Linked DNA regions of Schizosaccharomyces pombe. The protein of the gene in region 1 interacts with the protein of each later gene in a pairwise test. Each region holds a gene or a part of one and is shown on either strand. Other genes may lie near its edges. The genes, in order: cwf4, cdc5, prp43 and nrl1.

Region 1 (4,550 bases):
ATGAATTTTTTCTTTTAAGTCAAAATGTTGCCTAATACGTTGGTCGCATAAGCCGATTTTTGTATTCTGTAAATTCACTTTAGCAGAACATTTGGGTAAACCGGTCCGAATAAGCTGTCAGTGCTGAAAATAACCAATGTCAGATTTTGTAATCTCATTTGATTGACAAGTTCATCAGATCAGCACAACTCCAAACCAGCCGCTTCTTTACCTGTGAGTCCTGCCACTTTGAGTAACAAAACTAAAATTAGTCGCACTGGTAGATACTCGATCGTATGTCAATGGGGCAAGGTAAAGAACAATCAATTTATAAATATAAATATGTACATATTAAATATATTTTGGATTGGATTTTTCATTTTATTGTATTTTAATGTGTTATTTACGAATTGCGTTGGATTCTTCAAAATTGTCATGTTTACAACTTTCTCATTTCTACAAGTGTGATTCCCTCAACATAATATCCATAAATTTTTCGCTTATCTTGCTTAGTAAGTAAACTCAGATCGAAACTCAAGGTTAATAATACTAATATGGATTGCTTGTCTTATTTCTACGCGCCATTCCGGCCTTTCAAATGCAAAAACAGTTATTTTATTATTATCCGAACAGTCCAAAGCGCTGAATATCCTCAACTTCGTAACAACGTCCATTTACATGACCCATTGCCTCGTAAACAATTAATTACTAATATTTTACACGATTACTAAATATTAAACTGATAGCGCCAATAAATGTCATATGTAATCTAGGCCTCCAGCTTCTTTTTAGCCATTTCCTCTTTCCATTTTCGCGAAAGTTCGAGCATTTTGCGCATCTTATCTCCTTGATCAGTCGCCGTATCCGGAAACAGATAGTCCAAATATTCTTCGAATGAACCGTCTTCAAGTCTACGGCGTTTCTTAACAACCTGTGGCATTAGTGAAGAGACATGCTTACGTGTATCTTCCGTGCCATGCATTGCCTCAAATTGTTTCCATGCTTCAAGTAATACAACTCGCTCTTCCTTCAAACCCTGCTGGCGTAAATGGGCCAATGCATTTTCAAAAACATTTCGCGCACGCACAACAGCGGTTGGAGAAGCCACTTCTTCATTCGGTGGTTCTTCGTCATCGTCCTCCAGATGGGCAATTTCAAAGTTTGCAAAACTAATCCAAACTTTAACATGAGGTGCAGTCCGTAGTAACTGCTGGTAAATACTTCTAGCTTTTCCGTATTCCATTTCCTCGAATTCAAAATCAATATAAGCCTTCCACACAAGCTCTGGGGTTTCCAAAATAGGCTGGTTTACAGCCAAATTATATAAAGCGCGAGCACGATCACTATCTCCAAGCTTAGTCTCTAAGGCAGCGTAACCAAGCCAGGGAGCACAAGCCTCGGGATCATAAAGAATCCATTTTTCATAAAGAATTCGACACCTGTCAAACTGCTTAATTGCGTCTTCGAATTCAATATAACCTCGGAATAATTTTGGTTTTGGACACATTCCCAACGCACGACCCAACGTTTTTCTAGCAACATCAATCTTACGTTGCCTAAGCTCAAACATTGCATACATGAGCCATAATTTGGCAAATGTAAATTTTTTATGGGGTATAAGCTTGAGAGCTTCTTGGTAAACCTTTCTTGCGCGGTCAACGTCCTTCACATCTATCTCTTCAAATAAGCAATAGTTTAACCAAATATAAACGTAACGTCTCCATGCGTTCTTTTCAACTACTTCAGGAACCTTAGCAATAGCTTTTTCGTAGGTTTCGCGAATAGTATTAATATCCCCTGCACTTTCTTCGAGCTTCAGCAAATCAAGCCAAGTGTCATAGTCATAAGGAGAATCCTTCAATAGCTTTTCGTATTGTAATCGACGCTTATCGAGCACAGTAGACTCAACGCCCAAATGATCTCCAAATTGTTTTTCAAAATGAGTGTATTCCTTATATAGTTCCATAGATTTTGATCGGGGCATAAAATCAATTGCATATTTGAAAATGGTGCGAGCTCGTTCATATTCCTTTTGACGAATTTCGAATTTTGCAAAAGCAATAAAAAACCGTTCATTCAGAAACTCCTGACCAAGAGCATCTATAGCAGCCAAATAGACTTGGCGAACGTTTGCAGCATTTCCGCATTCTTCTTCAAAACGAGCCCAACGAAGCCAATTCGTTACTTCAGGATGCACAACGACAAATCGTTCATATATGCCACGAGCCCGTTCGTTTTCATGGTACCTCCTCTCCATTCGAATATAACTCATCCAACAGTTTTCATCAGGCTCCCACTTAAGCCATCTTTCAAATACTTGTCTACAACCGGTGATATTTCCTAACATTTCCTCCATATATACGTATTTGTACCATAGTTTATCAACACGGGGAAGCTGTGTAACAGCACGATCAAATAAATTTCTGGCATGGTTGATATTTCGATTCTTCATTTCGCATTCAATATATTTCAGCCATAACGGTATATAAGTAGAATCTACATCCAAAGCTCTTTCAAAAACAGAGCGAGCTCTCGCAAATTCTTTTTGGTCTAATTCCCACTGACCATATCGCATCCAATGGCCCATAGCGAGACGATTCCGTCGAATGGCATCTTCAAATTCTTTACGTTTTCGACCTTGAAATTCTTGAAGCTCCTCAAGATCAGTGATATTAATTTTTGGAGGAACAAACGCCACATCTTGTCGTTCTACAGCTTCTCGGAGCAATTGTTCAGCTGAGATTTGGATGGGTGCTGGGTTCTTATTTTTTACCCTGGGCGCTTCCGAAGTCATCTTATATTATTCTGGATCTCTATAGTGTACAATTACTCAATAAATAATATGCTAGATTTATGTCTTCTCTTAACCAGTTGGCTTTTACTGTTAGAAGACAAAAACGTGCACAAATATGAATGAATATATCTAACGTTTGTAACCCTCGAGGTGGTAATCGGCAACACCGCGGATCATCCGAGAGGAGACCGCGGCTACAACCTAGTAACTTATTGTAGCAATGGTCTGCAGCTCCTATATACTCAATAATATGTTCAAACGGTATTGCTCTAAATTGGATTTATAATTTTGTAGGATGATTGCTAACCTCAACAGATTTAACTCTAGAGAAGATATAAAGGGAACTACTCCAATCAAGTCTTCTATTCAAAGAGGAATAAAAGCAAAACTAGTACAAGCTTATCCTAACTTAAAACAAGTTATCGATGAGTTAATTCCCAAAAAATCACAACTAACTCAAATAAAATGGTTCGTTCTTATCAGCATCCGTGATTTTTAGTATGTCGTACTGATATTGTTTAAGTGAGGATCGTTTATTTTTGTATACTTTGAATGGCGAAATTATCCTTTTCCAGCACTTCGACGGCCCTATCATTCCTTCTCTTCGTCTTGTTCATAAATGTGAGTATAAGCTAACGTAACCGCAACGTTTGATTGGAGTTCTGGTTTTTGTCTAGCTGGTCAGAATCGACAACAACATATCTGTGTTTAGTTCAAATATATACTAATACGCCTAGGTCCGGATGCCTTTACTCAAGTTCGAGTAGACAGAGGAGCTATCAAATTCCTTCTCTCGGGTGCCAATATTATGATTCCTGGCTTGGTTTCCAAAGGCGGCAATTTGCCTGATGACATCGAAAAAGATCAATATGTGATTGTTACAGCTGAGGGAAAGGAAGCCCCTGCTGCAATTGGGCTTACAAAAATGTCTGCTAAAGAAATGTAATATACTATTGACACTCATAACTTGAACTATTAACTAACATGCTTGAATTGTTTAGGAAAGAGACTAATAAAGGAATCGGCATAGAAAATGTGCATTATCTTGGCGACAACTTGGTATGTGATTTACATTTTAAACCATTTATAATTTCCTCTTGCTTATTGGAATGTAATGTTAACTAATATTCACAGTGGAAGACTATTTTAGAATAACATCTATAGTATAAGACATTAAAAGAATAAAATTAATGCATTATTTTGCTTTCAAAACTATTCAGATTTTTCCAATGAGTATTGTATTAGACTTAAACAGAATGCAAGAAAGAAAAGTCAAATTTAAAATAGCCTCAATTTTTTTCAGGTTGATGCGTATTTTTCTATTAATTTGTTTGCACGATCAAATTCATTATCAGTTTGTACTGCTTGTCGTAAAACCACTAACATTTTTGCAACAACTTCTCTTCCTGATAATTTAATTGAACATTTTGTTTGAGTTCGTAGCTCTCCTAAAAATTCCTCCAATTTTTGCCAAAGACCATGATGCATTAATAGTCTGACATAAACTTCGCTTGTTACTAAAAACTCATCATCCAACTTAAGTAATCGAGCAGAAGCGATTTTGTTTTCTAAATGATTAATAGTAACTATGGTCTCAAAATCATCATAACCTTCTTCAGTGATTGCATCAGCTACCATTTTTTGTAATAGTTTTCCTCTTCCAGAATCCATTAAAACATTATTAGTTCGGTGTTCATATATTTTGAGCGGCTGACTTTCGGTTTGAGTATTGCTTTGCAGTAATCCACTTGAATCCCACTCCCGACTTCCTATAGCC
Region 2 (5,179 bases), on another chromosome or scaffold:
TCTCTGGACGAACCCATTCGTGTTACATTATTTAATGAATTTAGAGCTATTGGTGAAAAACTCGTCTATGTTTTGTATCCCAAAAATGCTCAAGTACTACGCGACTGGGACTTGTGGGGTCCTTTGATTTTTTCCCTCGTAATTGCTTTAGCACTTGCCTTGTCTACTGACAAGATTGAACGAGAATCTGTTTTTACAGTCGTTGTCGCGCTCATATGGTTTGGGGAAGCGGTTTGTTCTTTAAATATAAAATTACTAGGGGCCAACATTAGCATTTTTCAATCTATGTGTATATTGGGGTACTCCTCTTTCCCTTTAATGATTGCTTCTATAGTTTGTGCATTCGTTCCCTTAATATTTATACGCATACCTGTGATTGTTGCAATGTATGCCTGGACATTGTTCGCTGCTATGGGTGTTTTACAAAATTCTAATCTATCCAACAAAAAATTGTTGGCAGTATACCCTTTATTCCTTTTCTACTTTTCTCTAGCTTGGATTATCTTTTTATAAAACTTTCGTTTTATTTCAGGCATGATAATATACACTATGAATGATAAGCTATGACAATTATTTAAAACAAAGTGAAGTGAAGTTTAATTTTGTCCAGTAACCCTAGCATAATCTTGTTGAGCATACGCCTCGATTTGTTGCATTTTGCTTAGCTCTATTTCAGCTGCTTCAAGCCTATTAGGTAGAGCTAATCGCTCCTGATTGTATAGAAATTCGTAGCACGTTAAATTTTTCCTTTCTGTTTGCAAAGCCTTCCAAGCATGCGAGATTTTCTTTATCAAAAAATTACGTTGCTCATATGAAGATCTAACCAAATCATAAACCCGATTTTCCAACTTGTTACATTCCAATGCTTTCTTAGCTAAATCTCGTTGAATGTCGTTCGTATAAAACTTTTCAGCGGCTTCAACGTCTTCATCGTCTTCCTCGTAGATTACCAAGCCTGGCAACAAACTTGAGGTGTTGTGAAGTGCACTGTACGTTTCCAAAAATTCCTTCTCGAATTGGATATAATCGTCACTTTCTAGTTGCCCTATCTCTTTCTTTAGTAACAATCTACACCTCTCAATTTCTTCATTTGACAAATCAGGCACTTTGTTAGCCGTTCCTTTCACTTTTGAATTTCCAAACGGATAATTAATGGCGTCCGATGAAATCAAAGCAATCATTTCTTTCAATAAAACATTTGCAGTCGGATCTTCATTTTCAAGTGAACGCTTCCATTTTTCTGGTTGTGTTACAGATGGTCGAATCAAATCTCTTTGAATAACCTGTGACCTCCTCGCTTTTGCCAACCTTTCTTTTTCTGCAATACGTTCTTGGATACGACGTTCTCGGTCTGTTGCGTCTTCTTCAAGCACTCCAACAGTAGCTTCAACATCAGTTTCGTCCGCAAATCGAGGCTCCATTAGTTCATAGTCGTTTTTAGGTTTAGGTAGTTTTGCAAGCAATTCTCGCAAAGCCTTCAATCGAATTTTATTTTCTCTTTCACTTGCTAATCGTCCTGCTCGCTCCGCAGCTGCATTAATAGAAAATGTGTCACGTGGTGTTCTAAAAGGAGTTGCTTGAGGTGCTGCCAAAGCTGAGCCATTAGCTGCATGACTGGGAGTAACTCCTGTGTAACCAGTACCACCAGGTTGTAAAGGTATACTTTCCTGACCCAAGAGAGAAGATTGTTCGCGGTTCCTCATCAATTGATTTCTAACTTCAATTGTAACTGAATCCTCTCTTCCCTCAAGTTCACCACTAATTGGTGTTCTCAATGGAGTAGCTCGTTCAATTTGTGTATACTTTCCTAACAAATTAGTACTGTAATTAGCATCTGGAGTCGTATCAGTCATAGCGCGAGCACGATCGCCTGCAAAGCCTAGTTTCACTACTTTATCCAGTTCATCTTGAGACACAGTAGGACTAGGTAAATTCAACTTCCGCCTCTTGCTCATCTGCTCAGCCTCGGCAAGACGTCGCATTTTTTCTTCTTGGGCATCTTTGTTGGGCTTTTTTACTCTATCAATAGGTTTTGGCTTTTCAAAATGACCAAATTTTCGACCTTCGGATTCCATTTCATTATTCCGTATTCCATTTTCAATTATCTTCTGGTCCGCTTCTCGCTTTTCCCGAAAATTTTGCCTGTCCTCTTCTGAGGTATCATAAAAACCAATCGCTGGCTTTTTTTCAAATGGAATAGAAGCGTTATAATCCATTTCATTCTTCTTTCGACGGAAGAGCTTTATACTAAGTTATAGATTAACATAATGAAGGAAAAACAATACAATAAAGTAATAATAATAACACATACTTGATTCCAGCTGCCTTCAATTCTCTTCGCTTTTGGAGATGTGACAATCTTCTAGTTAATTCAAGCTGCTTTTCTCTATCCTTTCGTTTGGCTTTCTTTCCTTGTGTGTTTGCTAAACGTGCACGTGCTTCACTCAACATCTCTTTTTCGTCTTCATCCATGTCAATGGCATCAGGGAGTGCAGGTAGGGTTTCTAAATTGGGCTCTGCTTCGCCAAAACGAAGCCGGGAATTTGGATCGTTAACAGGCGCAGCTGCTTCTGCACCTTCTCCACTGATCAATCCCAACTGCTCGTTCTCTTTCGCTTCCAAATCATCAAGAAGTTTTTGATAGCGTTCTAAACATTGAGTGGCCGTCCGACCTACAATTGGAGCAATCGTCCGCCACTGTGTAGGAAGTAACTTAGCTAAGTGTAATAATTTTTCGTCCTCTTCACGACTCCATTCAGTCTAAATGTGAAGGAAATGTTAACAATAGGTCTTGTCAAATAACAAATAGTGATTACATGTTTAACATACCTTTTTAATGCTTGGATCGATCCATTCATACCAACGAGCTTTACATTGTTTAGGAGTTTTGCGAACCAGCAATGAACTTATGCGGGCCCATTGGTTTTTACCGTATTTACTGACAGCAGCCTAGGAATTTGCGTTAGTATTCTAAATATTAAAGGAAATATGTAACTAATAAATAAAAAAATACCTTTAAGATTTCATCCTGTTTACCAATAAGTTAGTAACAAAAACATTGCGCGTGGTAGAAGGTTAAAATCATAGTCTTTACCTCTGTATTTTTCCAGGCACCTAAATTATGTTAGAAAATACAATAAAAAAAGTTACAAACCTCCTTTTAAAACAACCATTTTCTAAATATTCGCCAAAACCCTGACAATTGTCAGAAAGCGTGGTAATGGAGGTTTGTAGTAACTGTAACAACTTGCGACGAAACAGGGTGGATGGGAAATTGAGGTAAATGTCGAGTGCAGCAGAAAGTGACCAAAATTATATTTTATATTTAAAGTAGTTTTAACTTTTAAAAGAACAGTTTCTTAAACACACTAATAGTCAAACCAAATATTCATTTTATTGTTTTTTCCAGTTTGCTACGTATCACATATTTACCTTAAATTATTTCAATGTAGCACATGTTTCTTTATCGCAAAAATATAATAGCGCAAAATCGTTGGACAACATTAAATTTTTTTGAATATTCCTAACCGTTGAGTATTAAGAAAATATTTGACAAGCAGGATATAGCAATGATCAAATATGTTTATCTTGAAGGTGGATCTACCATACTCTTCCTCTTATTTATGGTTGGTATATCAACAAGTAACTACAAGCATTGCAGTATTATGTGTATCGTTAAGTAACCTAATGACCGCGTATTTGTCAGCAATACTACACTACGTTACATATCACTATATGTCATATGTTGGAATACTAATTAAGATCCGTCTATTGATCATCACGGGTAACTATCCGTCTATATACATAGATACCCGTTGATAGCAACTATTTAGAAATATTATAAATAGAGTTTTAACTGAACTGAGGAACGAGGTTCAGTTATAAGCTATATTAGTGATAGGTAACATTTTATAACCTAGTTAATACAATACCTATACTCAGTTGCTACTCATACGACCTGTGTATTGTAATATAATAGACCACAAGGAAAACTCACCGCAGTTCTACGTATCCTTAAATTAGATAACAAACTGTGTAGCTAGCAGTATTGTGAAAAATAAAATAAGCAATGCAAAAGAAGTATAATGTATCACGCATTTCAATTTTAATGGAATACACTCAAGTTCATTATTTTTATGGGTACTTTGCAAACATATGAATGCATTAGTTTAGCAAAAGCTTTCTTAGATTCTGTGTGAAAACATTAAGAAACTGCTTTATTTGTTTGTTTCTGAAGCTCATCTTTTACTTTCTTTAGGTTATATTTTGCAAATTGCCGCTTTTTTTATGCTCGTCCATGGGTTATCATCTATTTGTTAGACAAACCAACAAAGTTTACGATTGAACAATTGTTCTATTTATCATTATCGAATTTAAAGAAAAACTTAAGGTTTAAAAGAAATGTCAGTGCTCGGGAAAACTTTACAGGAGAAAGTCAATCTCTTGGCTCAATATCCTCAAACAGGGTTGTCTTTAAAGCAATTAGTGTATTTTGGTAAGAATTTTTGCTCAGTTAATTTTTCTTAGATTACTTCATACTAGAAATTTTATACTGACTGCTTAATTTTTATTATGAAGGCAAGAACCCTACACCAGGAACACTTTTCCGGGCTGGCTTGTTTTTGCGAGATGAATTGCCCATTCGCTTGGCTCGGCGCATCCAAGACCTGCAGAATCTTTCACCGATGCTACGAAGTATGAAGCGTATATCTTCCGTAAAGGCTGCTTACGGTAGATCTATGGAGGTAGGTCAAATGTGTATATTTGCATGTTCGATACTTGTCGAAACATAACCAGAAATCAAACAAAGCTAACTGGTTGAAGGAAATTATTGAACTGAAAGGAGTGGAACTACCGAAATGTCTTCCAAAGCACGCTCGATATCACAATGCCCCGAAATGGAGGTCAAGTTTAATGGACTCTGAAATTCTTCATAATCCCTCGCTTGCAAATACTCATTTAGACTCTTCAAAAGGTCGCTATTTTGAAACAGATTTTTCTGACCAAGATAATGGCGTTGATTGTAATTGGCCCGAATCTTTGTTAAAATTTAATAGTAATTTTGCATACCTTTTAAATACCATTCGAACTAGACACGATAACGTTGCAGTCGAAATTGCTTTGGACATACAAGAATACCGAAGGAAGACTAACCAAATTGACAACAGTATTCAAATAT
Region 3 (4,818 bases), 1.5 Mb from region 1:
ATTCCGTGCTAAAGTTACGAACGTAGCATTCTCCAATTCCTTCGATTTCAAATTTCCATCTAATAAACGATCATTGTAATAGTTTAAACGCTCCTCTAGTTTATACACATTTAAAGTATTCACCAATGCTTTTGGTATTGAAGGAAAGAGGATGTATGTAATGAAAAGTATCACGAATCCCAAAAGTACTCTAATCAGCAATCTTGATATCCGCATTTTTTTTTGATAAATACCGACTAACCCAAATAATCTACAAAAATTTTAGTTTTTCAATGCTAGTATTTAGCTTCCATTATAACTGCAAGACAAAATGAATATCAATTATTTTACCTTCGGTTATTCACTTTGCTCTAGTGAAGTCAGTAATCACATTATAGGTGTCAGGAGAGGCCTATACCGTAGGTCAGAAAAACTAATACACTCATATTTTTGGCATAAAGCTGCACGACTTTTTAAAAAGTTTTTTAAAAAACATGTTAATAATTATTTCGGAGGAAAAGCCTTTAGATTATAAATAAAACTGCTAACTTAAAATTACCGCGGTTACCAATACACATTATTCATTGCATATGAAAAGTAGTTTCAACTGTAGAAATATTTTATTAATTTTAGTTCTGGTTTAGCCCCATGCAGTAATATACACTGATATTACCAAGTCTAAATAAATGTAGAGATCAAAATATAAAGGATCGAATTAAAAAATATGTATAAATATCCCAAGTCAACAAAATAATTATCCAAAACACCATTAAAAGTAGACGCTATCCACTTCTTCTAAATATTTGTAATTCACCGAGCAGTAAATTAGATTTTAACGTCGAGCGTTCTTTTTTGATCTAGCAGCCATTTGATATACTTTTTGGAGTGCTGATTTGACTTCTTTATTATTGTCGAAATCATCCAAATCATAGTAATTGGGAGCTAGTTCTATTAACCATTCAGGACGAATAGCTGTGACATTTCGAATAAAACTTTTGGTAGTAAGTACAAATTCATTATAAACCACCCACTCTGGAGTCACTGACAAACCACATGAAGGATGCAGTGAAACCACTTGATTATCTTTCATAGTCACATAGTTTTTACCATTTGCAGACTTTTTGGCAACTTGCATGAAAAATCCACTAACAAGAGCACGGCGGATATTTACATAGTAGTTTTTGTCATCAAAAGGGGTAGATATGAGTTCAACCTCTTGACGTTCCATTGTCCTCCGCAATTGTTTTCTTACATTGTCAGCACTGATTAGCGCTCTATGCGACAAGAAATGATTCCAACACCAGTCAGCAGTCCCTTCACCTGATTTATAAGCATGATAAACGTTCAATAAGGTCAAGTGATCACCATCAGGATGAGTAAATTGTTGTCGCATCTCATCCGCTAATTTCCTTGCAGAGTTAGGTCTGACGAAAACATTAGGAACAGATAAAAGAGCTGTTAAAGATAAAACTTCGTTTGAGCAATAAAACTCTGGACTTCTGATAAGCATTACAGCCAAATTTGGATCAAGTGGGAATTCAGACGCTTTACGACCTAAAGGAGTCAAGTCGCCATTATCGTCCAGACAGTTCAAATAGTTCAGCTCTTCTAAAGCACGCATCATAGTCTCCGGAGCGGGTGGATCCATATAATCAAAATGAACGAGGTCATCAATACCTAGTTTCTTCAATTCTAAGACAGTACTCGAGAGATTGCTGCGTAAAATCTCAGGATACGTTTGCTCAATCAATTCTTTGCGAAAAGCTTCCTCTGTGTAAAGGCGGAAACATTTACCAGGTCGAGTACGTCCAGCACGACCAGCACGCTGTTGTGCACTGGCTTTGCTAATAGGACTTACAAGCAAAGACTCAACTCGGATTCGGGGATTATAAATTTTTTGTTTACTAAAACCAGGATCCACCACATAAACGATACCATCGATAGTTAAGGATGTTTCTGCGATGTTTGTAGATATAACTACTTTACGGCCGTAACCCGATTTTGTATCTTCCGGAGTTGGTTCGAATATACGTTGCTGTTGATTTGGCGGTAAAGAACCATAAAGTGGATACACCTTCAATGGACCAGCGGCTCCTTCACGTACAAGATCATCAGCTTCCAAAGTAATCTTACGGCAAGCATCTTCAATCTCTTCTTCACCTGTAAGGAACACTAAGATATCACCGGGGCCCTCTTCAACATGAATTTGAAGCACTGTACGAAGCGCGGCTTCTAAATAATCGCGCTCAGGTTCTTGGGTATAATAAATTTCAACAGGGTAAGTTCTACCTGGAACAGCTAAAAGGGGAGCATCAAAAAAGTATTTTTGAAACTTTTTAGCATCCAAAGTTGCAGACATGACAATAATCTTAAGGTCGGGTCTACGTGTAGCCAAACGCTTCATTAGACCCATCAAAATATCAGTTGCCAAGGTACGCTCATGTGCTTCATCAAGAATAATACAAGAATAACGAGAGAGCATATGGTCTGTCATGGCTTCACGCAAAAGCATACCATCTGTCATATATTTTAACAGAGTGTTAGGTCCACTACAGTCTTCAAAACGAATGTTGTAACCAACTTCCTCGCCCAAGTCAACGTCCATTTCGTCAGCGACACGTTTTGCAACGGACATAGCTGCAACACGACGTGGTTGAGTACATGCAATTTGTGTATTTGTTAAATGAGGCAATTCATCATAAAGAACAAACTGAGGAATTTGTGTTGTTTTACCAGAACCAGTTTCACCAACGAAAACAATAATTTGATTCTCGTGATAAATTTTGAGAAATTCTTCTCTTTGCTGGTATACAGGAAGCTCTCTTCGAGTTTCCAAAATCTTAAAATAATTTTGACTAAAAGGTTTATCATTAAAAAAATTGTTTGGTCCTTCTTCAGCCTTAGCTGCTTGTGCAACAGTCGTAGCACGTCGCGTCAACCCTTTCGAAGAAACAACTTCCTCAGAATCATCACCATTGTTTAAGTGTGCCAAATACGGGTTCTTTGACTCTTGCCTTAGTTTCTTCTGAGCTGGTTCCATAGTCGAAAATCGCCCTTATATAAACCCTTCCCACAATTCTGTAAATGGCGAAGAACACAGTGCATACTCCGTACTACAAGCAGTTAAAGAATTTTCCAACAAACCATCTATCTTAACATTCGTTATATAAAATTGAGTGGCATAACGCAATGCGTTGTTAATTTTCAAGTTCGGACTAATATAATACATTAATGAAAATTAATTAACTAGTATAGTAAGCAAATGACAGGGTATTTCAGTTGAATGAATTTGCCTGTTAATTAATTGTGTAAAAAGGAATGTTTAAGAACAATAGTTAAAATTCTGGCAAATCGTTTAAGACAATAAGTATAGGAGCATTACTCCTTCTTTCTCAGCAAAATCTTGATTGTAACAGCTATCCTAAAACTAATCGACTTTTGTTAAATTCAGATTTAACTAAATCCAAAAAATTTTTATAATCAAAACTCCAAAAAAATGGTTTGAAGACCCGTTTTAAACCATAAACAATAATGTAAAAGAAGGACTATTAATTTTTAATACATATTACACGAGAACGCTTTTCCGGAAATGTTGTGGACCTCCGTAGAAGACAACTTGATTTGACTTCCATTCCGCAACACCAGATAGGCATTGGCACACCACTCAAACCAAACCCGCATACCGTCCGTCAATCGCCACATGTGAAATTCCAATTGGCTGTTTTCTGGGACGTACATGGGTTTCTAGGAAATATTAGTATACAGTGCAACGTAAAATATAGTAACTTACCTTAATGGGCATATAAATAGGGAACCATGAAAACATGTCAGGAGACTTCGCTTCCATAGTTGCTGGCATAATTGAAAGAGAAATATCCTTATATAATGTAGCTTCAAAATATCCTGCAAAACCGTGAAGGATTCCAGGACTAGAGGCCTGAAAACGAACACTAGCAAAACGTTTGTTATGCAAGTTTTTAGTATAAACCTCACTATCTTTGTTTGGGTGATGGAAGGACCAAAGGGACTGAAAACGGAACTCATCATCTGCAGCCAAAAAGTCAAATGAGTTCATTAAAACCACGTACTGTCTTTCAAAAGCATTTGGGTCATTCATATTACGAGCTTCAGACCATAGCTTAGGAGACATAATAGGAGTAACATAGGAGATGTAAGAAGATGGAATGCATATCCCAGTTTCTTCATCAAGCACATGTTGTACACCATCTAGACACTCCGGACTAAGTTCATTGTCTCCCATACTACCCAAAAGTTCACTAACAAGGATGTCAATTTTATAATCAGGATTCCATGTTCTCATATCTCCAAATACTAGAGTAACTTTGCCAGCCCAATCCTGGCGGTTTCTCATCAATAGCATGGAAAAAGCGTTAGGATTTTTCTCAAGGGCGATCATATCAACCGTTCTAGATGAAGAAATTGCCGCACGTAAAGCACAGTCGACTAATGGACCTCTTCCCGCACCCACAACGGCAATTCGCGTGACAGAAGATTCGTCTCTATCCATCAACGCAGAAAAAATTGCTTGCTCATACTGGGCGTACTTAACGGGATCTCGCTCAAATATTTCATAAGTAATGTTTTCCAAATTGTAGCTCAATGGTTGAAGAGGAACTTGCAGATAGTCTTTATAAGAATCCGCGAGATCTTCTACAAGTGGAGCTGGAGGCTGTGAATCAAAGAGGTGCTTCATATATATGCTGTAGTCGGGGGAATCACCTATTTTCTCGGGTGCGTCATTATCCCAAAGTAAAATTCGAGGATTGAGACGTAGATATAAAGCATAAATAGCCCTCAACTTACGACCAAGTACTGGAT
Region 4 (5,432 bases), 480 kb from region 1:
TTTTGAATTTTTTTTGCAAACATCCATTCTAAAAATTTGTTAATTCCAAAAGTGATAATAGAACAACAACTCACTGTGTAACTGAGATACAATTTTTCGAATGTAAGTCTTGACCTCTTCATCTACACTGACAAGCATATTTAATCCATATTTCCGAACAACTTTGAAGTCTTCTGCTGGGTAAATTCCTCGTTGAAAAAGGATTGAGTTCACCGCATATTCTTCATTAAGTTAGCATGGCATATTTGAAACATTTACAAACCAAAAAATTCGCTAACAAGTTTGGAAGAACCTTTCAGTGAAAAATTCGTTCTTATGGGAACGCTAGACATGTTGTGTTGTAGATTTTTGTAATAAGCAATAGGTTGTGTAGTAATTGAGTAGGTACTGCCATGATGGTTGCTTAGAGGTACCCTTTCAACGTAAAAGCAACCATATAAGCATTTAACAAACAAAAGTGAAAACTTTAATAATAAGACTACTAAAGCATTTACGCAAACTTGAAAGTAACTAATCTGTCATTTTAAACTCATTTCACTATCTCTATCATTAAAAGTCATTGATCGTAATAATGTCAGTTTGGGGACAAAATAAGTTCATCTCCTCTTTCAAACTTTAAAACATCTCTCCTTATTTCGTTATGGACTCTAAAGCCTTTTTCCAACATGATTATATAGCAAATAATAGCCCGACTCTCCATCTCTTTTTTCAAGAGCAAGTCTATAACGTCCATACAAACCCCTAAACTTAGTCAGTGAAATGTTCTATGTTTTTAATTAACTTACCTTTATTACAGGGGCAGGAAGCCAATGCTTTGGTGGTAATCGCCGAAACCCATTCAGTACCATTTAATCGCAAATTGAGAATCTTTAAATATATTCTCCAAAACTTGGCGACGGATTTCAACTTTTCATTATTTAGAGTGATATCCAAAGTCCTTAAAAAGTACTGTGAGTTTGTTGGCTCAATCTGTTGAACGGCAACATAAAAAAGGTACCAACAAGCTGTAACAACAGCATTTGAAGCAGATTTTAAAATTTTCATAGCCCTAATTTTTGGTTTGTTCTCTTGTCTCAACTTAGATTCAAAAAATATATAAACTTCCCATATAGCCGTATTTGCACTGAAAAGTGTAACTCCCTTTTCAAAAAAAGGTCGAACCTTGGGTAGATTATAGAATTGAAGAGTGGTAGCTTGATAATAAAAAATCAATGAACAATAAGAAAAATAGCATTCCATTTCTGAAGAAGCCCCCCATCCATAGCTTTCGAATTTTTGAATGCATAAATACACACAATTATCCATTGAATCCATATCAGTACAGTGTGTCCATATAGTATAGATAAGACAAACATACAGCAATTCTTCCTTGCTGGCGCAATTTTCCAACATACCAAATAGCATTTCGGATGCTCGATTATTATCGCTAGTTAAAGATTTATCACCAGGAAACAACAGGCATTTTATAATAACTAAGCATCCTTCAGTATCATTAATAAGTAGCTTTCTAAAAGCCCAGTTTTTGTATACATTTAAATTATCAATGTAGCGCAATTGGGAAGCATGGATCTGAAAAATTGTTTTAAAAATTGTTTCAGCCATAGTAAAAGCACCACTTAAGTGTTCCAATTGAGCGTAAGTGTTCCAAACAGACACTGAACTATCGTATTTTTTGAGAATCTTCTTTACAATTTTACTGAATTTGGTTAGAAGGAAACAAAAACATCTACTTACTTCACTTGGGGTTTCTCCTCACTTAGGTTCTTCGTCTCCATTTGCTTTAAATAAATTAAATAAACGCTCGCTAAATACTCATCGTCCGCCGAAAATACTAGTTGATGAAAAGCACGCTCCATTGATTCCTTCACATGATGTGCAAGGTTGTAATCAAATAACTTGAAATTTAAATTTTTAAACGACATAAGAGAAATGAAGAGATCAATGTATGAAGGTAGTATACTACAGGGAAATTGAAAGCTGTTTTTCTCAGCTATCTGTCCATTTATAAAGGATTCACTGGAAGCCATGCCAAAAAGCAAGTTGTAAATTCCTTTGTCATAAGAAGCAAACCATGAGTTTGTTGAAATCCCCGGTGGAAAAAGAGGTACTCCGCAAAATGCAAAAAATTTATACTTGAATGCGAAAGCAATCGTTTCGCTTTCAAAACAAACTATAAAGTCTTGTATGTCATTGAAGACAATATACCTAAATGGATCATCTATTCCTGAAAGTTTTCGACAACTCATGGTACTACGTGGAGGAGGATTAGTATCAAATTTGCTTTCGTTAAGATACCATAACTTAACTGTTTGAAATATTCCAATTTCTGAACTGAAATTTTGATTTTGCTGGCTGGACTCATCATCAAGGACGTTACACCATCCCCTAGCATTTTCTTCAGAAAACTTCGGAGTATCTGAATTCCAAAATTTAGAAAAGCTTTCAAAAAAAGTACTGTCAAGTTTTTTTTCCAAATACCGCGGATAAAAATAACATAACTCCATGTTAGCTTGAAAAATGGACCAAGCAAGCTCATAGTATCCGCAATTCTTCAGAAAATCGCATAGTCGGATAAGCAAATGTAATATGGCCTCCTCTACTTCAAAATTGGAAGTTACGTCTGTCGATTCTCTTTCCTTACACGATTTTCTATCGGATAATTTTTGCTTTAAAAATTTGAAGCACTTAGAAAACATGTTTAGACAATCATTGAAAGTAAATTCTGATATTCCAGTAAAATATTCGGCATATTTCATCCACAAATTAAGATAACCTGGATGCTCAATCAATACTTCTTCGAATTTCTGATTAGTTTCTTCTTTACTCCATTCTTCTGAGCCCAATTGGAGATAATATGAAACCAATATTTCATGATCACATCCTTTAACTTCTTTAAGTGCCTTTTCCAGAATTGATAGTTTTACGCTTCTACTATTGTTTTCAATCTTCAGTTTACCTTTAATGTCGTCGGAATTGCTCCGTCGAAATTCATCAAACAAAAGTCTTTCTTGATACTCACACATTTTTATCCATAACCTTGCTTTTCCTGGGTTTTTTTTTATTTCTTCATCTGTTTCCTTAATAGCCTTCAGAATATTTAAAGAAAACGTTGACTTCTCGGATGGATCCGAGTTTCTATTAACCAACAATGGAATAAATCCCTGCTGCCCATCTTCAAATTCACTTTCATCGTTTTCTTTTTCATCAAAGCTTCTTTCTTCATCATATTTGATTTCCAACGATTTTTTCTTATTCAGGGTTATGCCCTCCTTTGACTCTTTGACTATTCGTAGCAGAGGAGCAGATCCATATACGGAACTTGAAGATCTATGATATTTAGGAACGGGCCTCTTATTAATCCCGTAAAGTAAATTTTGCTTTTCTCCTTTCGTGTCTACAGCGAAATTACTTTGAATTGATCGATGCGAAGGGAAACTCGATTTCGCATGATTTGAGGAAACTTGATCATGAGATGATCGATATTTTTTATTGCTCTTTGTAATTGGATTTTTTTTTGCCTTGACTGAGTTAAAACTCGAAAATTTTGGAACAGACGTGTTATGATTAGACGGCATTATAGGTGTTTATGAATTAATAGAAAAAAAGTACAAAGGCTCCCATAACTAATATTCTTTGAAATGATCCAAATATACTAAATAGTTTCTGCCGTATATACCAGTATAATTTGCATATGCTCGTTGACAAAATATTTGCTGGCGTTAGCAGCAACACTTGGTTATTAGCATCAACTAACGATTAAGCTAACACTTAATGGCAACATTCTTCTTCAACGTTTTACTTTTTTAATTTTAAAAATTATTAATCTAAAAGCCAATCTTGGAGAGTTGTGCTTAAAGGTTGAAAGATTTGCTCGCGATCAAATCCTTCATGAGGAAACTGGGCAAATTTTGTACTTCAAAATCTAATTTCGTCATCTAGCTTATATTTGAATAAAAACTATCACAAAAAACCCACGATATGTCCTCCATTGATAAACGGGATCTTAGAAAACGATATAGGAACTTAATAAACAAAGTTCAAGGTCATGTACAGCTTTACTTTATAATTTACTAACATTTTAGCAGAAAGTCGTTTGGAACTGGTTGATGAGGAAAACAATAACTTATATGAAACTATTACTACTGCTAATGATTTATTTTCTTCAGGTGAATATCAGTGTATCTTTGTCAGTTGTTAACATAATTAATAGTTGATGCTCCTACTGAAGCAACCTTAGATGCTTTACTGCTTACTAAAACGGTTGATCTGGCTTCCATTAAAGCTAGGCAGCTTCATATTGGAAGGCCCAAGTTTAATATTGAACTATTCACAAAAAATATTAAGCAATTCCTCAACTATCCTACTTCCCACTCGAATGTTACTCGAATCCAAGAAATTGACACAGCATGGTCAAGACTAGGGAAATTGGCAAGTAATTGCGAAAAACAGCCCGCTTCTCTGAACTTGATGTATGTAAAATAGTTTCTCCAATAGCGTATCTAACCTCTTTAGGGTCGGTCCTTTATCATTTCGCAAGAAAGAAAGAAACATCCAGCGGCGAGAAAGACTACAAAAAGCCCCGAATGTGCTAACTCAACCTACTATGGTAATTTTTATTTTTTTTATATTTTCTAACTCAAGAAGCTGAATGAACGTAACATTACTACCCAAGAAAATAACACCACTAAAAATGTCTTGCACATATCTCGTTTACTTCAAGCACACCAGCCTGTTAATTTTTTGAAATTCATCACCAATCCTCAAAGTTATCCTCAAACAGTGGAGAACTTGTTTTATGTCAGCTTTTTATTCAAAGAAGGCAAAGCTGCCCTCGTAGAAAACGAAAGCGGGATTCTCATGCTTGGTAAATCAATTATATTTAGAATTTGAACTATTATTAACTTGTAAGAAACACGCATTCCTCCAACGGACGATCAAGTCGTGGCAGGCGAAATAAGAAACATTCAATTGGTACTGGATATGACAATGGATTTGTACGAGGTGGGTGTATTCATGTTTAAAAATTTTTCTAACCTCTCGAATGACAGAACATAATTAAAGAATACAATATCAAAGAAAGCATTATTCCTACTCGAGCACCCGTTGAAACATCTACTAACAGTAATACTTGGTATGGCTGATACTAATACAACAATCTTTAATTTCAAGTTTAATTACCCATATTTGACATAACGCTTCGTAATTAAGATAAAAACAATATATTAATAGATGATAAAAATAAGAGCTTTCCATAACCCAAACCTTTTATACAATCAAGTCAATTCCTTTCTTTTTTAACAAGAAGAGATCTGATTCAATAAATAAATAATAAATAATTTTAGAAGCAGCAAGAATATTTTTTGCATCAAAACTTTTAGGTTATGAATCCACATGATAACCAAATAAATAAATAAAGGCAGAACGTTGGGGAA

The links.
Region 2: the proteins of cwf4 (region 1) and cdc5 interact in binary tests that used the Schizosaccharomyces pombe proteins (3 or more experiments, as listed by UniProt).
Region 3: the proteins of cwf4 (region 1) and prp43 interact in a two-hybrid assay, tested with the Schizosaccharomyces pombe proteins (one study listed by BioGRID).
Region 4: the proteins of cwf4 (region 1) and nrl1 interact in a two-hybrid assay, tested with the Schizosaccharomyces pombe proteins (2 studies listed by BioGRID).

The regions. Positions count from the first base shown.
Region 1 is NC_003423.3:3,770,285-3,774,834, forward strand, and holds cwf4 (protein Cwf4), read right to left. Parts: upstream 2,866-4,550; 5' UTR 2,774-2,865; coding exon 749-2,773; 3' UTR 572-748; downstream 1-571. Other genes in the region: RNA-binding protein Tma20, read left to right, coding at 3,024-3,034, 3,089-3,241, 3,297-3,394, 3,511-3,715, 3,775-3,832, 3,908-3,928; histone chaperone Hip1, read right to left, coding at 4,073-4,550. UniProt on the Schizosaccharomyces pombe protein: Involved in pre-mRNA splicing and cell cycle progression. Required for the spliceosome assembly and initiation of the DNA replication.
Region 2 is NC_003424.3:2,692,752-2,697,930, reverse strand, and holds cdc5 (splicing factor Cdc5), read right to left. Parts: upstream 3,233-5,179; 5' UTR 3,174-3,232; coding exon 3,155-3,173; exon of another isoform or gene 3,115-3,154; coding exon 3,095-3,114; exon of another isoform or gene 3,038-3,094; intron 3,029-3,037; coding exon 3,014-3,028; exon of another isoform or gene 2,950-3,013; coding exon 2,830-2,949; exon of another isoform or gene 2,761-2,829; coding exon 2,312-2,760; exon of another isoform or gene 2,248-2,311; coding exon 597-2,247; 3' UTR 514-596; downstream 1-513. Other genes in the region: SPOM_SPAC644.13C (Rab GTPase-binding protein), read left to right, coding at 1-513; [pyruvate dehydrogenase (acetyl-transferring)] kinase Pkp1, read left to right, coding at 4,402-4,495, 4,579-4,745, 4,825-5,179. UniProt on the Schizosaccharomyces pombe protein: Involved in mRNA splicing and cell cycle control.
Region 3 is NC_003423.3:2,277,964-2,282,781, reverse strand, and holds prp43 (ATP-dependent RNA helicase Prp43), read right to left. Parts: upstream 3,078-4,818; 5' UTR 3,020-3,077; coding exon 812-3,019; 3' UTR 543-811; downstream 1-542. Other genes in the region: alpha-1,2-mannosyltransferase Omh2, read right to left, coding at 1-216; protein arginine N-methyltransferase Skb1, read right to left, coding at 3,535-3,723, 3,770-4,818. UniProt on the Schizosaccharomyces pombe protein: Pre-mRNA processing factor involved in disassembly of spliceosomes after the release of mature mRNA.
Region 4 is NC_003423.3:3,289,175-3,294,606, reverse strand, and holds nrl1 (NRDE-2 family protein), read right to left. Parts: upstream 3,722-5,432; 5' UTR 3,576-3,721; coding exon 1,735-3,575; intron 1,697-1,734; coding exon 786-1,696; intron 742-785; coding exon 575-741; 3' UTR 501-574; downstream 1-500. Other genes in the region: mitotic spindle checkpoint protein Mad2, read right to left, coding at 1-28, 75-221, 263-332; nse4 (non-structural maintenance of chromosome element 4), read left to right, coding at 3,979-4,042, 4,086-4,166, 4,211-4,469, 4,513-4,606, 4,645-4,864, 4,910-5,001, 5,049-5,141.